Linked DNA regions of Oryctolagus cuniculus. The protein of the gene in region 4 purifies or fractionates together with the protein of the main gene of each other region. This does not show direct contact. Links are inferred from orthologs where the notes say so. Each region holds a gene or a part of one and is shown on either strand. Other genes may lie near its edges.

Evidence for each region.
Region 1: the proteins of RIOK1 (region 4) and WDR77 purify together in Homo sapiens (affinity purification with mass spectrometry; 5 studies listed by BioGRID and IntAct, with this or other methods). This does not show direct contact. The link is inferred for Oryctolagus cuniculus from reciprocal best matches to the Homo sapiens genes RIOK1 and WDR77.
Region 2: the proteins of RIOK1 (region 4) and CLNS1A purify together in Homo sapiens (affinity purification with mass spectrometry; 3 studies listed by BioGRID and IntAct, with this or other methods). This does not show direct contact. The link is inferred for Oryctolagus cuniculus from reciprocal best matches to the Homo sapiens genes RIOK1 and CLNS1A.
Region 3: the proteins of RIOK1 (region 4) and COPRS purify together in Homo sapiens (affinity purification with mass spectrometry; 3 studies listed by BioGRID and IntAct, with this or other methods). This does not show direct contact. The link is inferred for Oryctolagus cuniculus from reciprocal best matches to the Homo sapiens genes RIOK1 and COPRS.

The regions. Positions count from the first base shown.
Region 1 is NC_091438.1:58,932,638-58,937,318, reverse strand, and holds part of WDR77 (methylosome protein WDR77), read right to left. Parts: intron 1,853-4,681; coding exon 1,782-1,852; intron 1,653-1,781; coding exon 1,598-1,652; intron 1,152-1,597; coding exon 1,080-1,151; intron 512-1,079; coding exon 403-511; intron 1-402. UniProt on the Homo sapiens protein: Non-catalytic component of the methylosome complex, composed of PRMT5, WDR77 and CLNS1A, which modifies specific arginines to dimethylarginines in several spliceosomal Sm proteins and histones.
Region 2 is NC_091432.1:68,739,501-68,744,730, forward strand, and holds part of CLNS1A (methylosome subunit pICln), read right to left. Parts: intron 1,962-5,230; coding exon 1,863-1,961; intron 1,202-1,862; coding exon 1,094-1,201; intron 1-1,093. UniProt on the Homo sapiens protein: Involved in both the assembly of spliceosomal snRNPs and the methylation of Sm proteins.
Region 3 is NC_091448.1:42,255,033-42,260,720, forward strand, and holds the start of COPRS (coordinator of PRMT5 and differentiation stimulator), read left to right. Parts: upstream 1-2,037; 5' UTR 2,038-2,129; coding exon 2,130-2,228; intron 2,229-2,318; exon of another isoform or gene 2,319-2,503; coding exon of another isoform or gene 2,504-2,566; intron 2,567-4,092; coding exon 4,093-4,159; intron 4,160-5,688. UniProt on the Homo sapiens protein: Histone-binding protein required for histone H4 methyltransferase activity of PRMT5.
Region 4 is NC_091436.1:163,158,851-163,163,218, forward strand, and holds part of RIOK1 (serine/threonine-protein kinase RIO1), read right to left. Parts: intron 3,557-4,368; coding exon 3,437-3,556; intron 2,534-3,436; coding exon 2,480-2,533; intron 1,255-2,479; coding exon 1,102-1,254; intron 661-1,101; coding exon 550-660; 3' UTR 1-549. UniProt on the Homo sapiens protein: Involved in the final steps of cytoplasmic maturation of the 40S ribosomal subunit. Involved in processing of 18S-E pre-rRNA to the mature 18S rRNA. Required for the recycling of NOB1 and PNO1 from the late 40S precursor.

The DNA.
Region 1 (4,681 bases), on a different chromosome or scaffold from region 4:
TGCGGCTGAGGTCGCAACCCTGCAAGTCCCCGTTACAAGTTCCAGGGAAAGAAGGGGAACATGGAACAAAGTCAGGTTGGCCATTATCCTGGCCACAAACCATCGCATCTGGCCCCTCTCTGTGGCCTCGGCAGCAACCCAGAAACAGAGGCTCTCCCCACACCCAGCCCAGGAGCCCACGGATTAGTCACTTTGGCTGCTAAGCAAAAATGAGGCCCCTTTTCAGCCATTTTCACAGAGCCTATGGAACCCAAGAAAGGTCCACGGGGCTTGAGAGATCTCTGAGGCTCTGAGAGCGGGGCCAGAGCACCGTGCGCTCCAAGGAGCCGCCCAGTCAGCAGTGCTTCACCCACACCCGTTCCCATTCAGGCCCCTCAGGTCCCCGATGACAAAGGACAGTACCTGTGGGGCGAGAACACCAGCCCAGTGACACACTGCGAGTGCACAGCTGAACTGAGCGCACAGCCCGCACTCTTGGTGTCCACAAGAGAGACAGTCCCATTCTCATCACCTGCAGAACAAAGGGAACACGGCGCCGAGGTTAAGCACACGGGCTGTGGGGTCAGCCAGATCCAGATCTGAATCCCAGTTTCTCAAGCCCAGACAAGTCGACTGCTCTGAGCATCAGTTTCTTTTGCAAAGTAGGAATAACAACTATGAGGTGGTTGTGAAAACTGCGTGAATGAATGAAGCAGCTGTCATTTTAACCATAAGCTACATCATCATACGCTTGGCCTTATTACCAAGACAACAGTACCACTCAACACACAATGGGAGAGAATTCCCAACACAACAAAGCACTTGCTTTGTGGCTCACTAACCACTAGGCATGCCCAGAATATGGGAGCCAGAACAAACAGGAATCAATTCACTGCGGAAAAAAAACCCATTATGCTCGCCAAAGCTAAATCGCAAGTACTTTTGAGTCATGCCCCTTCCTGACCCCTCCATTACTGCCATCCATCAAGTGCTCAAGTTGCTGTGCGATGGAGCAGCAAGAGCCGGTGCAGCACCCAGTGAGCTTCCTCTCCCACCCGCCCGTGCCCAGAGCCAACACGCAGTCTGACACGCTGCCTTACCAAAGACAAAGACTTCACTTTGCTGAGGATGCCAAGCCAGTGAAGTAGCAAGGTAGCCAGAGGCATTGCAGCCTGCAAAGGAAAGAAGGATCCAGAACAAAACTCAGAACCCACAGGAAGCACTTTCTCAACAGAAGTCACTCGAACTCCAAGGAGCACCTTTACTTCGTTTCCCACACCCTGCTAAGGCAGCAGGTCCTCAGTCCTGCACCTCATAAACTACCTTAATCCATCAGCCTCCTGTGCTTTCCAGACATAAGCCAAGTTTCAAGCAAAAAGCATGAAGATACCAATTCCGGCCCTCTGCCCACTCATCTGACCAAGCAAATCACCCCCCAGGAACCAGCCCCTTTCCCTCCTTCTTTGTACTCATTGCATAGAGTGGGGTTAGCAGAGCCCCAGCTGAAAAAAAATTATGTCACTTATGTCACATACAGCAGTATTCCTTTTACTCTAGTCAGAGAACGTCTCTTCCAGGTAAGCTCCTAGGGCCTCCCCACCAAGGCTCTCAGACTCACCCATCTGTGATGCCGGCTTGGGACAGCGGGTATCCCACAGTAAAATTTTATTGTCCTAAAAGAAAGAGGAGCATTCAAATGGTCTCACAAGCCAAAGGACCAACTGCTGGCCAGTTCTCCACACCAGAGACTCTGGCCTACAGAGGGCTGGTGTGTGGTTAGGAGAGCAGAGGCAGTATCTCACCTCACTGCACGAAAGAAACACGGAGTCCTTATGGGGAGAGGCAGCAACACAGGTGACCTGCCCAGCGTGAGCTGTGAAGGAGAGAGAAAATGAAACATGACAGAGGCAACTGAGGGCTCTACAAGGCAAGCCAGATACAATCAAGGGGTGAGAGGGAATCTGAAGACACAGGCCTGTTATCATTTAGCAAATTCTGTGAGAGAAAAGGACTAGACAAAACCTAAGAAGAAAGGTTAAAGTGCCAGAGCCGGCCGTGTGGCACAGCGGGTTAAGGCCCTGGCCTGAAGCGCTGGCATCCCATATGGGTGCCGGTTCGTGTCCTGGCTATTCCACTTCTGACCTGGCTCTCTGCTGTGGCCTGGGAAAGCAGAAGACAGCCCAAGTCATTGGGCCCCTGCATCTGCATAGGAGACCCAGAAGAGGCTCCTGGCTCCTGGCTTAGGGTCGGTGCAGCTCCGGCCATTGCAGCCATTTGGGGAGTGAACCAACAGATGGAAGACCTCTCTGTCTCTCTCTCTGCATAACTCTGACTTTCAAATAAATAAACAAATCTCTTTTTTTTAAATAAAAAAGGCTAAAGTGTTATAAAACCTAAAAATGTCTGGGCAAAAAATTTGCAAAGATGATGAAGGAGAAATGAGGGGCTTAGTCAGCACAGTGAACTCAGGTAAGGTATCCTGGATACAAGAGCCAAGTTTGGAATAGCAGTCTTCATAACTGGAGCTCCTGTATCTCCAAGTAAAACACACAATTTTTGAGGAAGTTCGGGGTGCGGATACTTAGGAAAATCAATTTCTCCAAAGTTCTCTTGCCTAAAATTCAACTGCCTCTACTTTCAATCATGTGTCTCCTACCTTACAGAAGGAACACATGGCTCTTACTCATCCCAAACCTTTTCATGGGGTGTAAAATTCAAAGATTCCAAACTAAAGAACAAAAGGGGCTTTTTCCTAAGAGCCAGGGAGCTACAGAGCAGGAACACTGGCAAAATTTAGTGAAGGGGACTTAGCTTGTTTCAGTCACATCAAGAACTCCATTATGGCTCTGCGCCTTACCTGCACCTAACAAAAACAACTGAAAGATCTGATAGGTGTTGTAGGAAGACACTTCCTACAAGTTTGCCAGAATTTAGCAATGAATTCAACTTTTTCTGATAAAAAGTTAAGTCTAATTTATGAAACTGGCTTAACAATGCATACTGGATTTTCACCTGAAAGGCTATTTGAGAAGACATTTTGTACAAATCAAATAGGCTTAATCTGCAAATCAAAAATGCTAACAAATAAATACTTGAAAAGTATATAAGTATTTGATAAATGATGTTAGAAACTATCTCTTTCGCAGCTTAAAATCTTTTAGCTAGCATTAAAAACATATGAGGGAGTAGTTTTCAAAACATTCTACGGGTAAACATTTTTGATGATCACTGCTAAGTGTTAATCAGGGGCTGTGGAAACCACTTCTCTAGAGTCCTTCAGTTAGACTTGCCACGACAGTTTGAGTAGCTCCGCTCTGACACAGAAGGGTGGAAGTAAACTGCCTTCCACAGTTCTCTCCCAGCCCTGGAATGAATGGATGATAAGCTAGAAAAGGACTTTATTGCTCCCTGGAAAAAAGCGAAGCTCTGAGATAAGCACCGTGGAGATATACAAAAGATGAAGAAAGGAAACGTGGTTCCTCTGCTCTCAAAGGCTTTGGACATCCGTGTCAGGACTGAGACACGAATGAAGGAAATGCTGAAAAACAGCTAGCATCATCCAGGAAAGCACATCACATGTCTAAGAAATCAAAGGCAAGCGTAGTAGACTGGGGGCACTGGCGTTTCAACACTATTTGCCCTTTATGTGGAGGCCCGGGAGATGTGCGAGTCGGTGATTTTTGCTCTGGCCTATAGGTGGATCATGTGAGGGAAAGGGACCCAGCCACTGGAAGACCCCCACAGGGATCACCCAGCATCTACAGCCCGGAGCCGCACTTTATGTTCTAGACATTATCTTCATGAGGAATGGCTCCCAACGGCTCGTGTTGCTCATGAAAGCAAAAAGGAAAAACATAGGGGAAAAAAAAAAATGGTTCTGACCAGGAAAATAAACATTTTATGGAAGGGAATATTCAAAAGTTCAAGATTCACAATTCTCAGGGCTTTCCCTCAAGAATGTCAAGCATCTACTGTGACTGGCTTAGGCCAGGACTACATGCTTGCAAGGAGAATGACAGTAAAAAGGGCTTGCAAGCCATGACATAAAAACAGTATTCTGATCTACAGACAGGAACCAATAAACGACCAAAAGAGCCGAAGGTTCCAGGTGTGAGACAGGGCTTCCGTCTGTGTGCGGAAGGGCCTGAAAACGACTGGGCGCAGGAGAAATGCACAGTGAGGGGATGGACCAAATGGAAGAAGACTCACAAGACCCTGGGGACCAACAGCAGAGGGACAGCAGAAGTGGAAGAGGACTGAGTCTGAACTCTCTGTGACTGAGAAGGAGGTAAGAGCATCAACAGAAACAGGGAAAATGAGAGGCCGGTGTTGTGGCGTAGCAGGTTAAACCGCCAACTGTGACACTGGCATCTGTGAGTGCTGGCTGAGTCTCTGCCGCTCTACTTTTGATCCAGCTCCCTGCTAATGTGGCCAGAAAAGCAGCAGACGATGGCCCAAGTTCTCGGGCCCCTGCCATCCTTGTGGGAGACCAGGGTGGTGTTCCTGGCTCCTAGCCCAGCCCTGGCCATTACAGGCATTGGGGGAATAAACCAGCAAATGTCTCTCTCTCTCTGTAACTCAGCTTTTCAAATAAAATAAATATAACTTAAAAACCAAACAGAAATAAGGAAAATGGAGGTAGATATTAGAGCCTATAATTTTAGAAGAAAACTAGCAGGCAGGAGAACACGGAACTGCTTCT
Region 2 (5,230 bases), on a different chromosome or scaffold from region 4:
CTTGTCTTTTCAACATTCATTGACAAAGTTGACCCTTGAAGACAGAAATACAAAGAAAATATACCTATCATATAAGATGAAAAAGGATTCCAAGAAGTAATGCCAGTAAACAGCAATTCCCAAAGAATCACACGTTCTAGGACTGCAATGAAAGAGGGTGCTCGCAAGGCCAGGGACTCCTATATTATACCAAGGTGAGAATTTTCAGGGGAGTGCTAATTAGTTTGATGGGAATTTGTATTGAAGGCTTTTCCTGATTAAAATACATGCTCCTTAAAAAAAAAAAAGCAGAAAAAACAACCAAAAAGGGACAAAAAAATTAAAAATATTAGAAAGAAGAGTAAATATTTAGCCAGCACCGAGGCTCACTAGGCTAATCCTCCACCTGCGGTACCGGCACTCCGGATTCTAGTCCCGGTTGGGGCGCCGGTTCTATCCCGGTTGCTCCTCTTCCAGTCTAGCTCTCTGCTGTGGCCTGGGAAGGCAGTGGAGGATGGCCCAAGGGCTTGGGCCCTGCACCCGCACGGGAGACCAGGAGGAAGCACCTGGCTCCTGGCTTCAGATCGGCACAGCGCGCTGCGCCAACCGTAGCAGCCATTTGGAGGGGGGTGAACCAACAGAAGGAAGACCTTTCTCTCTGTCTCTCTCTCTCTCTCTCTCACTGGCTAACTCTGCCTGTCAAAAAAAAAAAAAAGAAAAAAAAAAAAAAAGAAAAGAAAGAAAGAATGAACGAACGAAAGAAGAGTAAATATTTAAGTATATGATAGAGAATCCTAGAGATGAGTTTGTCTCAGCCTAGGAAGGAAATGCACAAGGAGGAAAGGGCATAACAGAAGTGGAGAAAAGAGAACAGCAGGTGCCTCAAGAGCTGCAAGACGCCATCAAGCTGAGGACTACATTCTAGTCTAGAAAAGCAATGGAAGAGATTCTTAAATGAAGTATGGTTCTAGGAAAAAAGAAATGACTTTGGCAGTGACCTGTTTGAAGGAACATGTTAACTATAAAGACCTACAATCCTCTGTCTACAGTACACATAAATGCTCAAAAATGAAACATTAAAGCAGACAAACATTTAAAAAATCTATTCACTAACCATGTGCTTCCACATCATATTCTTCTCCATCATAATCATCTGAATCTTCATCCTCAGGGTCTGGATGCAAGGCCTGACATTCACACATTGCAGTGAACATTGCCTCCACTAAACAAGAAAATGAAGTTTTAACTAAGACTTTTCACCATACAATTTTAATAAAAACCACCAGTGCTAAGAAATTTAACAGGTACACAAGAGGTATACTAGGATAATGTCTGCAAAACCTGCCAGATTCCAAGTAGGACCAATTCTGGAAGTGCCTGAGGCAATGGGCAAGTCACAAAATAAATGTTCATTCTGAGATATTACTGAGATCTCTTCATGGCTAGTTGGATTTTCTGAGAAAAGGGGCCAAGTCCTTGTCAGATCGTTGGTATCAGGGGAATGCCTCTCTCAACCGACAGGGCTCTTTCTAGTTGTCTTGGCATCATCTTCTTGCAATTGCTGTGACTCCTTTGCCATTCATCCTTTAGATGAGATTCGAAGTCAAGAGCATCAATCAATAAAATGAATGAATAAAACTGACCCTCCATTAGCAAAACATACTAGGTAACATGTTACATACAATATGCTTGCTACATTCACAATCGTTATTATAAGTGTCTGTTCTCAGTATTACAGACACAAAAAAGAAAGGGCAATACAACTGACGAAATGTTGATAAAAGTGAGGTGTGTATGTAAGACAACAAGAGAGAGACCATGAACGGGGCTGGGGGAGGACGCTTGTGAAAAAAGGGAAAAGAATCAATACACGGAACACTCACATGCTGATTTATCACCAGGTACAAATCTAAATTCAGAAATAGGTTCAACATCATCATCACTGTCTTCCTCTTCATCAGCAACAAGTTCTTTTGATTCTTCTGGAAAAGGAATAAATAACTTTTTAATATGCCATGTGTTTGACTTAAAAAAAAAAAAGCTAAGAGAATTTCCTAGAGGATGCTTACTGATAAATCTGAATGTTGCACTTCAATTTTTATTTCCAATCGTGGTTATTTTTTAAATTATTTTATTTATTTGAAAAAGTTACAGAGAGAGGTAAAGTCAGAGAGAGAGAGGTCTTCTATCCGCTGGTTCACTCCCCAACTGACCGCAACAGCCGGAGCTGCGCCGATCTGAAGCCAGGAGCCAGGAGCTTCTTCCAGGTCTCCCACGTGGGTGCAGGGGCCCAAAGACTTGGGCCATCTTCCACTGCTTTCCCAGGCCATTAGCAGAGAGCTGGATCGGAAGAGGAGCAGCTGGGACTAGAACCAGCACACATATGGGATGCCAGCACTGCAGGCTGGGGCTTTAACCCACTGCGCCACAGCGCTGGCCCCCCAATAGTGGTTATTTTAGAGCTTAAAAAGGCTCTGAATAGTCTCTGGTCTAGCTGCACAGTGCTTCACTGAGTCCTAAGGATTCCAGAGCCCCTGTGAGGCCAGAATGAGGATGAAAAGACCCAAATACTCAGGTTTCTAATAAGTATAGTTCCAGTCATCTGCTTCTTTTCCCTTTCACCTTGAAACAAAAGGTTCAGCAACACTCTGTAAATCACTAATGTGGTTCATCACCAACAATTTACAGATGAGAAAACTAAAGTCCATAGAAGTCGACTGACCCAACATGTAAGTCAACCAGGTCTGTAGATAAGAAAGAATACAGATTTTTGTTAAAGAAAACTAGCATTATGCTGGTAGTAGTGAAAGCTGCTATAATCACCTTAGAGATACTCATTCCCTACTACCTAGCAATTCCACATCCACATATTGTACCCAAGGAATTTCTGCACAATACTGATGTACTGTATGAACTAATGAAATACTCTTTAAAAAAAGCTAGTTGCAGAATGTATATACTATTTATTTACATTAACATTTTAAATACAAAACAAAACCATTACATGTTGTTTATGAGCATATATGCACACACATCATCTCCTGCAGTCAGAGTAGAGAAGGAAATGCGTAGCCAAACAAAAAGGGTTTTAAGGGTCAGTGTTGTGGTAGAGCAGGTTAAGCTGCCTCCAGTGATGCCAGCATCCCATACGGGTACCGGTTCATGTCCCAGCTGCTCCACTGCTGATCCATCTCCCAAGTGTTTGCACCACTATACCCATGTGGGAGACTTGGATGAAGCTTCTGCCTCCTAGCTTCTGCCTAGCCCAGCCTAGCCTTTGCAGCCACTTGAAGAGTGAACTAGCAGATGGAAGATCTCTCTCTCTCCCCCTCTCTTTCAAATAAATAAATAAATAAATATTTTAAAAAGGGGTGGGAGTTTCAGCAGATTGATGTTTTCTTAAAAAAGCCTACACTAATTATGAAAAAAGTTACAATTTGCACTAGATATTGAATACCTGTTTTACTATTCTCTGTGCTTTTCAATATGCTTCGATTATTTCATAATAAAAGGTATGTTATCAAAACATCTAAATAGATGCTCAAAATTGATAATAATAAAAAATTAAGGCCGGCGCCGCGGCTCACTAGGCTAATCCTCCGCCTTGCAGTGCCGGCACACTGGGTTCTAGTCCCGGCCGGGGCGCCGGATTCTGTCCCGGTTGCCCCTCTTCCAGGCCAGCTCTCTGCTGTGGCCAGGGAGTGCAGTGGAGGATGGCCCAGGTGCTTGGGCCCTGCACCCCATGGGAGACCAGGAAAAGCACCTGGCTCCTGGCTCCTGCCATCGGATCAGCGCGGTGCGCCGGCCGCAGCGCGCCGGCCGCGCCGGCCATTGGAGGGTGAACCAACGGCAAAGGAAGACCTTTCTCTCTGTCTCTCTCTCTCACTGTCCACTCTGCCTGTCAAAAAAATTTAAAAAAATTTAAAAAAAATTAAAAAAAATTAAAAATTTACTATAAATTATAAATTTACATAAAAAATTAAAATTTACTATATTAAAGTTACCATTGACAAAAATGTCAATTATTGGGCTAGCCATGTGACATAGTGGGTAAGGCCACCGCCTGTAGTGCCAGAATCCCACATGGGCAGTGGTTAGAGTCCTAGCTGCTCCACTTCCCATCCAGCTCTCTGCTATCACCTGGGGAGGCAGTGGAGGATGGCCCAGGTCCTTAGGCCCCTATATCCACATGGGAGACCCGGAAGAAGCTCCTGGCTTCGGATTGGCACAGCTCCAGCCGTTGCAGCCACCTGGGGAGTGAACCAGTGATGGAAGGCCCCCTCCCCCTGCTGCCTCTCTGTAACTCTGCCTTTCAAATAAATAAATAAATCTTAAAAAAAAAAAAGTTAATTGTCCATGCTGATGAAGATAAGTAGAAAGGTGGTACATATTTTTTTTAAGAGATTTATTTATTTATTTGAAAGCCAAAGTTACAGAGAAGGAGACACAGAGAGAAATCTTCCATCTGCTGGTTCAATCCCCAAATAGTCTCAACAATTATGGCTGGGCCAGGCCAAAGCCAGGAGCCAGGAGCCAGGAGCTTCTTCCAGGTCACCCACATTGGTGGCAGGGGCCCAGGGACTTGGGCCATCTTCCACTGCTTTCCCAGGCGCATTAGCAGAGAACTGGATAAGAAGTGGGCAGCTGGGACTCTGCAGCCAGGACTCGAACCAGCACCCATGTTGGAAGCCAGCACTGCAGGCAGCAGCTTAATCCACTGTGCCACATCACTTGCCTCAAGGTAGTACCTTTATATACACCACTACTGAAAGTGTAAATTGATGTAAACTTTTTGGAAAGCAATGTCACAAAATACGTTAAGAGCTTTAAAAATGTTTCTTACCTTAATGCAGCGATTTTACTCATACGAAACAACTAAAGGGTTATATCACTAAGTCCTTTTTTTTTTTTTAACTTTTTATTTATTTAAAGACTTATTTATTCACTTGAGAGGCAGAGTTATAGAGAGAGGGAGAGACAGAGAGGTCTTCTATCCAATGGTTGACTCCCCTAAATGTCTGAAATGGCCAGGGTTGGGCTGATCCAAAGCCAGGAGCCAGGAGCTTCCTCCGAGTCTCCCATGTAGGTACAGGGGCCCAAGCACTTGTGCCACCCTCTGCTGCCCTCCCAGGCACATTATCAGAGAGCTGGATCAGAAGCAGAGCAACTGGGACACAAACCGGGGCCCATATGGGATTCTGGCATCGCAGGCAGTGGCCTTACCCACTATGCCACAGCGCTGGCCTCTGAT
Region 3 (5,688 bases), on a different chromosome or scaffold from region 4:
GAGCTAAGAGCTTCTTCTGGGTCTTCCACACATGTGTAGGACTTGGGCCATCTGCTTTCCAAGGCCACAGTGGAAAGCTGGATCGAAGTGGAGCAGCTTGGACCTGAACTGGCACCCATATGGGATGCTGGCACTGCAGGTGGTGGCTTTACCTGCTAGCCACAGTGCTGGCCCTTATCACTATCTTTCAAAGAAATAAATCTAAAAAGATTAATCGGGCCAACACTGTGGCATAGGGGATAAAGCTACTGCCTGCCTGTTAGAGTCTCAGCTACTCCGTTTCCGATCCAGCTTCCTGCTAATGGGCCTGGGAAAGCAGCCAAGGATGGCCCAAATACTTAGGCCCCTGCACCCACATGGGAGACCCAGAAGAAGCTCCTGGCATCGGATCTTTCCAGCTCCTGTGGTTATGGCCATCTGGGAAGTGAACCAGTGCATGGAAGATCTCTCTCTTTGCCTCCCTCTCTCGGTGACTTGGACTTTCAAAAAAAAAAAAAAACCATCAAAAAGATTAGTCACATTTCCTCACATTTCCTTTCCTGTGTGGGGTTGGGGAGGGGGGACGGGGACACCCAAACATTGAATATTATGTCACTGTTGGCTTTCTTCCCCCAAATGCCGCAAAGTGTGTGTGTGCTTTTAAGATTTATTTATTTGAAAGAGTTAAACAGAGAGGAGAGGCAGAGAGAGAGAGAGAGAGGTCTTCCATCTGCTGGTTCACTCCCCAAATGGCCGCCAACGGCCAGAGCTGTGCTGATCAAGAGCCAGGAGCTTCTTCCTAGTCTCCCACGTGGGTGCAGGGGCCCAAGGACTTGGGCCATCTTCTGTTTCACAGGCCATAGCAGAGAGCTGGACAGGAAGTGGAGCAGCCGGGTCTCGAACTGGCACCCATCTGGGATGCCTGAGCTTCAGGCCAGGGTGTTAACCCACTGTGCTACAACGCAGGCCCCACAAAGTGGTTTACAGACAACAAAATTCCTCTAGGGAGGCGCTCTAATGTCCCAAGAGGTCATAAGGTTTCCTGGTGAGCAAGGAGTCCCAGCTTCTGGCTTTTTGCTCCTTAAAGGTTAACATGTGAGTGGCCAGGGCTCCCTGGTTTAATCCTCCGTTTGCAGCGCCGGCATCACATGTGGCCGCCGGGTTCTAGTCCTGGTGGCTCCTCTTCCAGTCCAGCTCTCTGCTTTGGCCCGGGAAGGCAGTGGAGGATAGCCCAAGTGCTTGGACCCTGCACCCACGTGGGAGACCAGGAAGAAACACCTAGCTCCTGACTTCAGATCGGAGCAGCTCCGGCCGTAGCGGCCATTTTGGGAGTGAACCAAGGGAAAGAAGACCTTTCTATCTATCTGTCAAAAAAAAAAAGAAAAAAAGAAAAAGTTAACGTGATTATCACGCGTGGTCGGTGGCCAGCAGGGAAGGCAATGAAGGCCCTTGCTGCATGGGAGGCACCCCTCTTAGTCCTTAGAGGCAAAATGGGGAATAACTGGTGGCAGACCCAAATCTCAGCGTGGGAAGGTCGGAGCCCTGGTCGGATTCCACCACTAGTGCAGAATATTTAACCGTGTCCACACATTGCAGCTGTTTGAACAGCTGCCCTGGTTCCCAATAGACTGTTGTAACTCGAGGTGGGGCGTCGCTGGCTGCTAGGTTGTCTCGTTCGTTGAGGTTGTTAGGGTCTAATTCCAGTGGACCCAGAAAGAGGGTGAAACGTGGCTGGAGCCTCAAACTGCATTCTGAGTTTTGACAGCTCGGCTTCAGACGGTGTCAGGGCCGCTCCGGTATTCGTGTTCTAATGGGGAATGGAGGTTTTGCAGCTGAACACATCGGGTGTGGCAGAGTGGAGCTGGGATTCGGCCCTGCCGGCCCAGCCCGCGTTCCAGGCCGGGCGTTTGCGCGTGGGAGCCACCAGAACCAGTACTCCAGACTGGCTCCGTTTCTCACCGGGTAGGCAGGGGGCTCTGCGGTGGCGACGCGCCCCGCCCCCGGCGTCCTCGTGACCCGGTGTCCCGCCCCCGCGGCCGGGAGCACCCCGGCTGATTGGCCCCTGCGCGGCGTATCCTCAGGCTGGCAGCCAGGCTGGCGCATCACGTGGCCGAGCCGCGTCCAGGGCGCCCAGCCGTGGGCAGCTCGGCATGGACCCGCAGGCCGCCGGGGCCCGGGCACGGGGCGTCACGGAACCGCCTCGGGGCCCGCCGCTACCGAGCACGCGGGAGGCGCCCCGCAGCCTGGAGGTGAGCGCCGCGCGCGGGCCGAGCGCCGCCACCACCTGCAGCCAGTGCGGGAAGTTGGGGGCTCGCGGGGCGGTGCCCGGTGCGGGGCGCGGACAGCGCCACGGGCCGCTCCACAAGCCCTGAGCGCCGTTTGGGCTCGCGCTGGAGCTGGAAACGGCTGGCCGAGGAGCAGCGGGGCTTCGAGGCTGCCGGGCCGGGAGCTCCGAGGGGCGTGGGTGGGCGCGCCGGTCCCACTGAGGCTATTGGCCCACAGGGCGCCTCTGCGTACTTACTAAATGGGAGGTGATGTTGGGGACGGAGAGCTGGGGCCCGCTACTAGGGGCCTGGGCCCCGGCCAGGTGAGGGCTGCAAGGGGAGGGCTTCGCCTGGAGGAGCCCTGTTCACTGACTGAGGGTGGGGGGACGCTCACTATCCCCCGAGCGCTGAGGGGTGGGTGGGTGTCCCATGCACTCTCCGTTTACGGAGACCCGAAGGCCAGGTTTGACGCAGGGTTTGCAGAAACTTGCTTTCAGGTGCGCTCCAGGCAGCCCCCGTGTTTCCGAGACCGCTGTCGCAGTGCTCGCCTGTCCTTGTCTACAGTGTCTGCCTAGACGACAGCTCCTCCGTTTAGGGCTGGGAGCCCAGCGCCTAGCACGCGGGACAGGCGTAGTAATTGGGTGGACACAGCAGAGATGGGCCTTAACCAGAGACGTGCACGCGGCGGCAACGCTTGTAGTCGGGGAGAGCAGGGAGGGCTGCGCGCTGGCTCTCGCAGGTGGGAGTCCGGTGGTGCCTGCGGAGGCTGGCCAGGAAGAAGCGCAGGGCAAGTGGCTCAGAGCTGGGGCGGCGGCGTGGAGAAGCATGCTGAACAGGTCGTGGGGGGCGGGTGCCTTTGTGTTTGCTGGTGGAGGGCTGTTGAAGCTGTTGACCAGAGTGGTGATTAACCCTGTGGGTGGGGGAATTCGGAGGTCAAGGCCTCCTTAGCTTAGCCTCATCCCGCTGGTGGGCAGCCCTGAGCAATTGCTGCTGACCACTGGAAGTGGAATCACTTAAGGGAGGCATGGCTAGGCGAGGAGTGATGATTGGATTGAAACAGGTGCAGTTTAGATGTAGGATCAGAGGAGGTGAGTCTAAATTCTAGACGCCTCGCATTCCTGCCCGTGCGCTGGGAGAGCTCTTAGACGTTAGGTAGTAGGAACCACTCTCCCCTGTTTCCAGGGAAGAAAGCCCAGGGGCTGAAGCCAGGTGGCCCAGACAGTACCCTGAGTGGCAGAGCTGGGGCTGAAGGTGGGGCTTCCTGCGAGCGCTTCTGGGGCAATTAGAGCGTTTGGGAGACTTGTGGGTGCTGGAGGCAGAGAAGCTTCCGGCCGGCTGCAGGGGAGGGTGATTTCCAGCTGGTTTAGAGCTGTTTATTTCAGCCAGCACCACTCAGGACAGAGAGTTCCACTCCCATCCTGTGCCAGTGAGAAGAGGCAAAGAGTTGTGAACTAAATACTAAGTAACCAGAAAGGTCAAAAAGATGTCTGGAGGAAGCAGTGGGCAGGAAACAGCCAGGACAGCTCTGCAGAGCTGAAATCCAACCTGCTGCAGCTGGTGCTGAGGTCTCTGAGCTGGGAGAGTAGGGACCCTGGGCTCCAGACCTCTGACAAGAGGGCCCAGTGATGACACGGCCACCTCAGGTGTCCACACAGCTGTAGCCAGGGGTGCAGCCGTGTTGTTGGGATGGTGCCTGGAGAATTAGAAAGGCCAGCTGGATCTAACAGGGGGAGACAGAAATGTGGATCCCCATCAAGAGTGTGGGACTGGGACTCGACCTGAGAGGCAATGGCTTAGTACCAGGATCCGGGGCACCTGAGTTCCTGGTAATCGGTTGTTCTTCCTGCAGGCCACCTTCGCCACAGCAGACCCCAGTGGTCCAGAGACAGAGGCTGAGACGGCCACGGATCGACTAGGCAAGTAGATGTCGGAGCGGCCGTGATGGTCTCTACGTCTTGTTTCCCTGTTCCTTCTAACCAGCCCTCTGCTGCCGAGGTGCCTCCCCTGTCGCGTTTCAGCAATGCTTTCCGTTGAAAGCCCTGCCCAGGCTACCGTAAGGGAAATCCTGGACTTGGCTTACATCCCAACTCATCTCTTCAACTGAGAGCCAGCTCGCAGCCGTGACACGTGGGGGCTTGGGAGGCAGGCAGAATTGTATTTTCAACTCTGAGAGCCCTGGAATGGAGTATCATGGACTTGACAGTGAGACGAATAAGACCTACTCCCTAGGGTTGTTCTCAGGATTGGGGGACAGAGCGAGGAATCGTGTGGGTCTGTTACAGCAGCCGCTAGCCACAGGTGCAGTTGAAGTTAGTTCTAAGGCAGTACCACAGGAAACTCAGCTTCTCAGGCCACATTCCACGTGCTCAGTAGCCACGTGTGGGTAGTGCTGCCTTGTTGGACAGCAGTGATGCTAGAACATTTCCGTCTCGGCAGGAAGTTCGAATGGGAAGTGTTGGTCTAGATCACGCAGTCGCAGGTGTAACAGTCCCAGTAATGGAAACCTTTGAGCGCTCCTGTCGACAGGTGTAGTCTGTTTCTATTGTTTCCTTTCCCCCCCCCCACATCTCACAACAAACCTGTCTCCATTTTACAAATGAGGAAACAGATACAGCGTAGTTAATACAAAAAAAAAGTTTTTTTAAAATTTTATGTACTTGAAAAGTAGAATGAGGGGGTGGGGAAAGAGGGAGATATCTTCCTCTGGTTTACTCCCCAAATGGCCTCATTGTCTGGGGCTGGCCCAGGCTGAAGCCAGGAGCCTGTAACTCCACTGGGGTCTCCCCCAGGGGTGGCAGGGGCTCAAGCACTAGGGTCATCTTCCTCTGTCTTCCCAGGGACATCAGCAGGGAGCTGGATAAGATGTGGAGCAGCAGGGACTTGAAACAGCACCCATATGGGATGCTGGTATTACAGGTGGCAGCTTAACCTGTGCCACAGGGCTGGCCCCCATACAAAAATTTTTTTAAAACTTTTTCTTCTGTTTATTTGAAAGCAGTGGGGGAAGGGGGAAGCAGGGCAGAGAGAGATCTTTCATGTTCTAATTCACTTGAAAAGCCTCCCAGGGCTGAGCCAGGCCAAAGCCAGCAGCTGAAAACTCAGTTTGGGGATCTTACGGGTGGCAGGGACCCAAGTACTTGACCCAGGTACACTTCCCAGGGCGTGTATTTGCAGGAAGCTGGATTAGAAGTAGAGGAACCGAGACTCAAACCTGGCACTGCTATATGGGATGTGGACATCTCAGCTTCATCTTAAGTGCTGTGCCAAATGCCTGTCCCTTCCCCGAATTAAAAAAAAAATTAGGAGGGCTGGTGCCGTGGCAGAGCGGGAAAAGCTGCCGCCTGCAGTGCCAGCATCGCATATGGGCGTCATTTCGAGTCCCAGCTGCTCCACTTCTGATCCGGCTCCCTGCTAAAGGCCTGGGAAAGCAGTGGAAGATGGCCCA
Region 4 (4,368 bases):
GGCCATGGCAGATATTTGAGGAGTGTACTAGTACAAGAGAGCACTTCTCTCTGCCTCTCAGAAAAATTTTTAAAAAGATGCAGTGTGAGTACATCACAAACGACCAAAAACGAACACAGAGCAGAGGTGCAACAAACCAACATCAATGGCCAGCTGGATTTCCTAAAAGGAAAATTCCTTTTATACTATACGCCATGGCCTTATGATGAAATAATTTCAGACGGTCTTTGGCATGTAAAAAGAGAGCAGAAACAATCTCCCAGGGTTGTCTGAAGCACACTTACATTTAAATATTTATGATGCTTCCAAAAACATACTTGCAGGAGACAAAATAGAAAAATAAGAATGTGTGAAGCTCTTCTCTACAACAGTTTAAATGAGTCCTTTGCCAACACCAAAGTGCCTGCCTCGGGGCACCGGGAGCTCACTTGTGCATCCCTGCCCGACAGCTCTCTACCGTCTTCACAGTGCCACAGCGACAGTGCAGCTGCAGGCCGTCGGCCACCTGCCAGACGCGCTGCAAACGCCCGCTCACGCGGTGGCCCTGTGCTATTTGCCCCTTTTGGTCTTGGCCGTCTTCTCCCTCCTTTTCTTTACATGTTTAGGAATTTTGTTTTTTCTTTTCTCTCTCTGGGCTTCCTTGACCTTCTTTTTTCTTTCCTGTAAAAAACAAACAAACAAAACACAGATTTTCATCATTCAGTGTATTCACAGTACAATTACAACTAAATAACATTGTATGTAAGGAGCTGAAAGTGAAAGTAGCATATAAGATGAATGAAAAAAATTAGGGGTTGGTGGTAGAAGCTGGGGTGAAACGGTCTTTCCACTTTTTAAAAAAAAAAAAAAAAAGATATTTCTTTATTCGAAACAATTAGAGAGGGAAGAAGAGACAGAGGGAGAATCTCATCTGCTGGTTCACTCCCCAGAAGGCCGCAATGGGGCTGAGCCAGGCCAAAGCCAGGGGCTTCACTTGGGTCTCCCACATAGGTGGCAGGGGCCCAAAATACTGGGGCCATCTTCCACTGCTTTTTCCAGGCCATGAGCAGGCGTGGAGCCAAGAAATGAATTGGAGCAAAGGGATTTAAGCTCCTGACCAACCTTTTTATCAACATCAGGGTCAGTGGTGTGTTTCTTGCAGTGGGCGTGGTCGCCCCGCTCTTCAGAGTCTGTGTCGGAGCACTCAGAGCTGCCGGCTCCTTCTGAGTCAGAGTAAGTCTTGTCCTGAACTTGGTTTTCTAGCAGAGCAGGGACCTAGAAATCATTACAGATAATGTTACCCTAACCGACCTGTTATCGTTGTAAGTGAATGTGCTAAGGCCAGAATTCAGATCTCAGCCTTGCAGGTGTACTCAGAACAACACGATGACAAACAACAGAACCGACACCGGGGAGGGAGAGAGGGAGACCAGGGCACCCATGCCACTGCCGCTCACGAGCACAGCTGAACGGAGCTTTCCTGAGCGGCCAAGCCCACGACACCTGTTCTGCTTCTTTCAGCACCTCAGAGAGGCTGGCTGGGGTCTGGAAGGATGTGAACATACAGAGAGGCAAGAACAAAGGCTGGTCTGGCTGACTTCCCGGGTGTTTTCCTACAAACCACATTGCTAGCAATAAGCTAATCCAATCGAGAGGGAAGGATTATCTTCCAAAAAGAAGAAAATTTCATTTTTCCTGTAATCAAGCAGGTTTTTAAAGCAACAGAAACATTTTTTAAGAGTAAGGATTCCTTTTTACAAGAAAACAGATCCTTAAGAGGCAACTGTACAGAAAGCGTTTCTAGCCAGTTGTCACTGAATATTCCTGCTCTGGAATCCAAGGCACCACTTCCCTACAACACCTGTCATTTGTAATGCAGAAATGCAGAACACTGGTGTTTCACTCACTTCACTCTTCCTACAGAAACGACAGTCAACTTTCAAAAAGCAGTAATCCTTCACTTATGCCCTTAAGATTGAAGAAAGAGCGAAGCCTTTATCACTACCTAAAATGGAATTCCTTAGTCCCACTCCTCAAAAAATGTAAGGTAAAAGACGACCAGGTTGAAGAAAGAACACTGCAGGAATCCAGCACAGGGCTGCTCTCAAGAGTTAACGCCTTGGAGTAGACACAGTCCAGACTACGTCTGAACACTGGCCGTAAAACAACCAAGAAGCACAAGGCGGTCCCTAGTTTAAACTCCACAAATGAAGGCAGGACACAGGAAAGACAAACGCCTCACATACGACAAGGGAGAATTTCCAGGACAGAATCAGGAATAAGCCGACCGCTCTTAGTATTATGGCTAGAAACATAAAAGAGAGCACTTCTGAAAATGTGCATAGGCTTTGCATTTTATTTAGTAACAACATAAACTTAGTATTTTATTTAGTAACAACATAAAACAACACCAATAGAATTCTAGTAACGCACTACACTCCATTCTCTATCCTTTGCAAGGGTTTCCCCATAACAAACAAGTAGCACATGGGCTCCATACCTCCTGCACGCCTGACAGGTCCTTCTTCAACCCTGTGACGGTCTGGTACAGGATCTTGTAACCGAGAGGGAAGAAAACAAGAAACATCATCAAACTAGACACACTGCACAATCAAGAACACAGTGGGCTACTTTATCTTCTGTGACTGGGTTCATCTGAGCAACACAGAAAGCCCATGGCATGGCTGTCACTCTTGTATACCAGGGAGGCCAGGCCCACAGGTCATTTCCAGCCTGGAGATCTGCACAGGTGAACATCTGTGATCAATGGGAAGACAGCAAACGCTAACTTGGAACTCCATTAAGGAAATGCCATCTATCTACCCTCTCCAATAATTACATTCTTCTCTCATTAGCTGACCTATATTTCAAAAAAATTTTGGGGCCGGTGCTGTGTTGTAGCAGGTAAAGCCGCTGCCTGCAGTGTCAGCATCCCATATGGGTGCCAGTTCTAGTCCCGGCTGCTCCTTTTCCGATCCAGCTCTCTGCTATGACCTGGGAAAGCAGTGGAAGATGGCCCAAGTCCTTGGGTCCCTGCACCCACGTGGGAGACCCAGAAGAAGCTCCTGGCTCCCGGCTTCATATCGGCGCAGCTCCGGCCGTTGTGGCCAACTGGGGAGTGAACAATTGGATGGAAGACCTCGCTCTCTCTCTCTAACTCTGACTTTCAAATAAATAATCTTTTTTTTTTTAAGTTTTTCCCAAAATATGTATGTTAATGAAATATATATGGCTGATGGATCTAGAACAGCCACTTACAACACCGACATATACACAAACCTCCCCTTTCCTCTAACTAGTCTGTTGTGTCATCCCCCAACAAACACCAACAAACTCCCCTCCCATCCACCATGCACACAGACATCCAACATCCCAGAGACCGGAAGTCCAAAGGTCCCAAGTGTGGGCAGTGCCTTTCTCTCATGCACCTGCCTGCCACACAGACCCAGCTCCTCACATTATCCTGCTGAGCATTCAAGGCCATGTCCTCTTCCTTCAGTTTCATCATTATGTCCACATCTCTCTCGTAGTTTTTCACTTCATTCAGGGTTCTAGGAATATATGCCCGCTTAAACACCTACAAGGGAGGGAAAGCACACCCAGAGCTGTTACCCACATCTCACACTCCCTCAGCATCCTCGCCCCACCAGCCACGGAGGGGTCCAGACGAATTGCCGTCTCCGACACGGTTCGCAGCCAAGCTGTATGCACGCACCGCTGCTGCATCTGCTGTGGGCAGTGCCGGACGTAACCTGCTCCCAATACAAAACACTAGCTTTTGACAGGATTTAGGAGAGGAAACAGCAGACCCCAGGTTATCCTTAGATAAAACCTCTCTTCCTTCTGCATTCCACAGAGCAGGAGGGGAAGGGATGGAGTTCGCTGGCAGGCGCAGGCTCTGCCTGAGGCAGTGATCCCTCACGGCACCATCACCCTCCCAGCTACTACGGTCAAAGAGGCCACCTTGTATTTCTCTACCTCACTACAAGCTCATGAATGCAAAAAAGAGACAAAACAGGCTATTATGGGAGATGGTGCTGTGGCGTAGCAGGTGAAGCTGCTGCCTGTAGTGCCGGCATCCCATATGGGTGCCAGTTCAAGTCCCAGCTGCTCCACTTCTGATCCAGCTCTCTGCTATGGCCTGGGAAAGCAGTAGAAGATGGGCCAAGGACTTGGGCTCCTGCACAGGCATGGGAGACGTGGAAGAAGCTCTTGGCTCCTGGCTATGGGTTGGCACAGCTCCAGCCATTGCAGCCATATGGGGAGTACACCACTGGATGGAAGACTTCTCTCTCTCTTTCCTTCTCTCTCTCTCTGCCTCTGTCTCTTTGTAATTTTGCCTTTCAAATAAATAAATAAATCTATTTAAGATAAAAAAAGCCTATTACA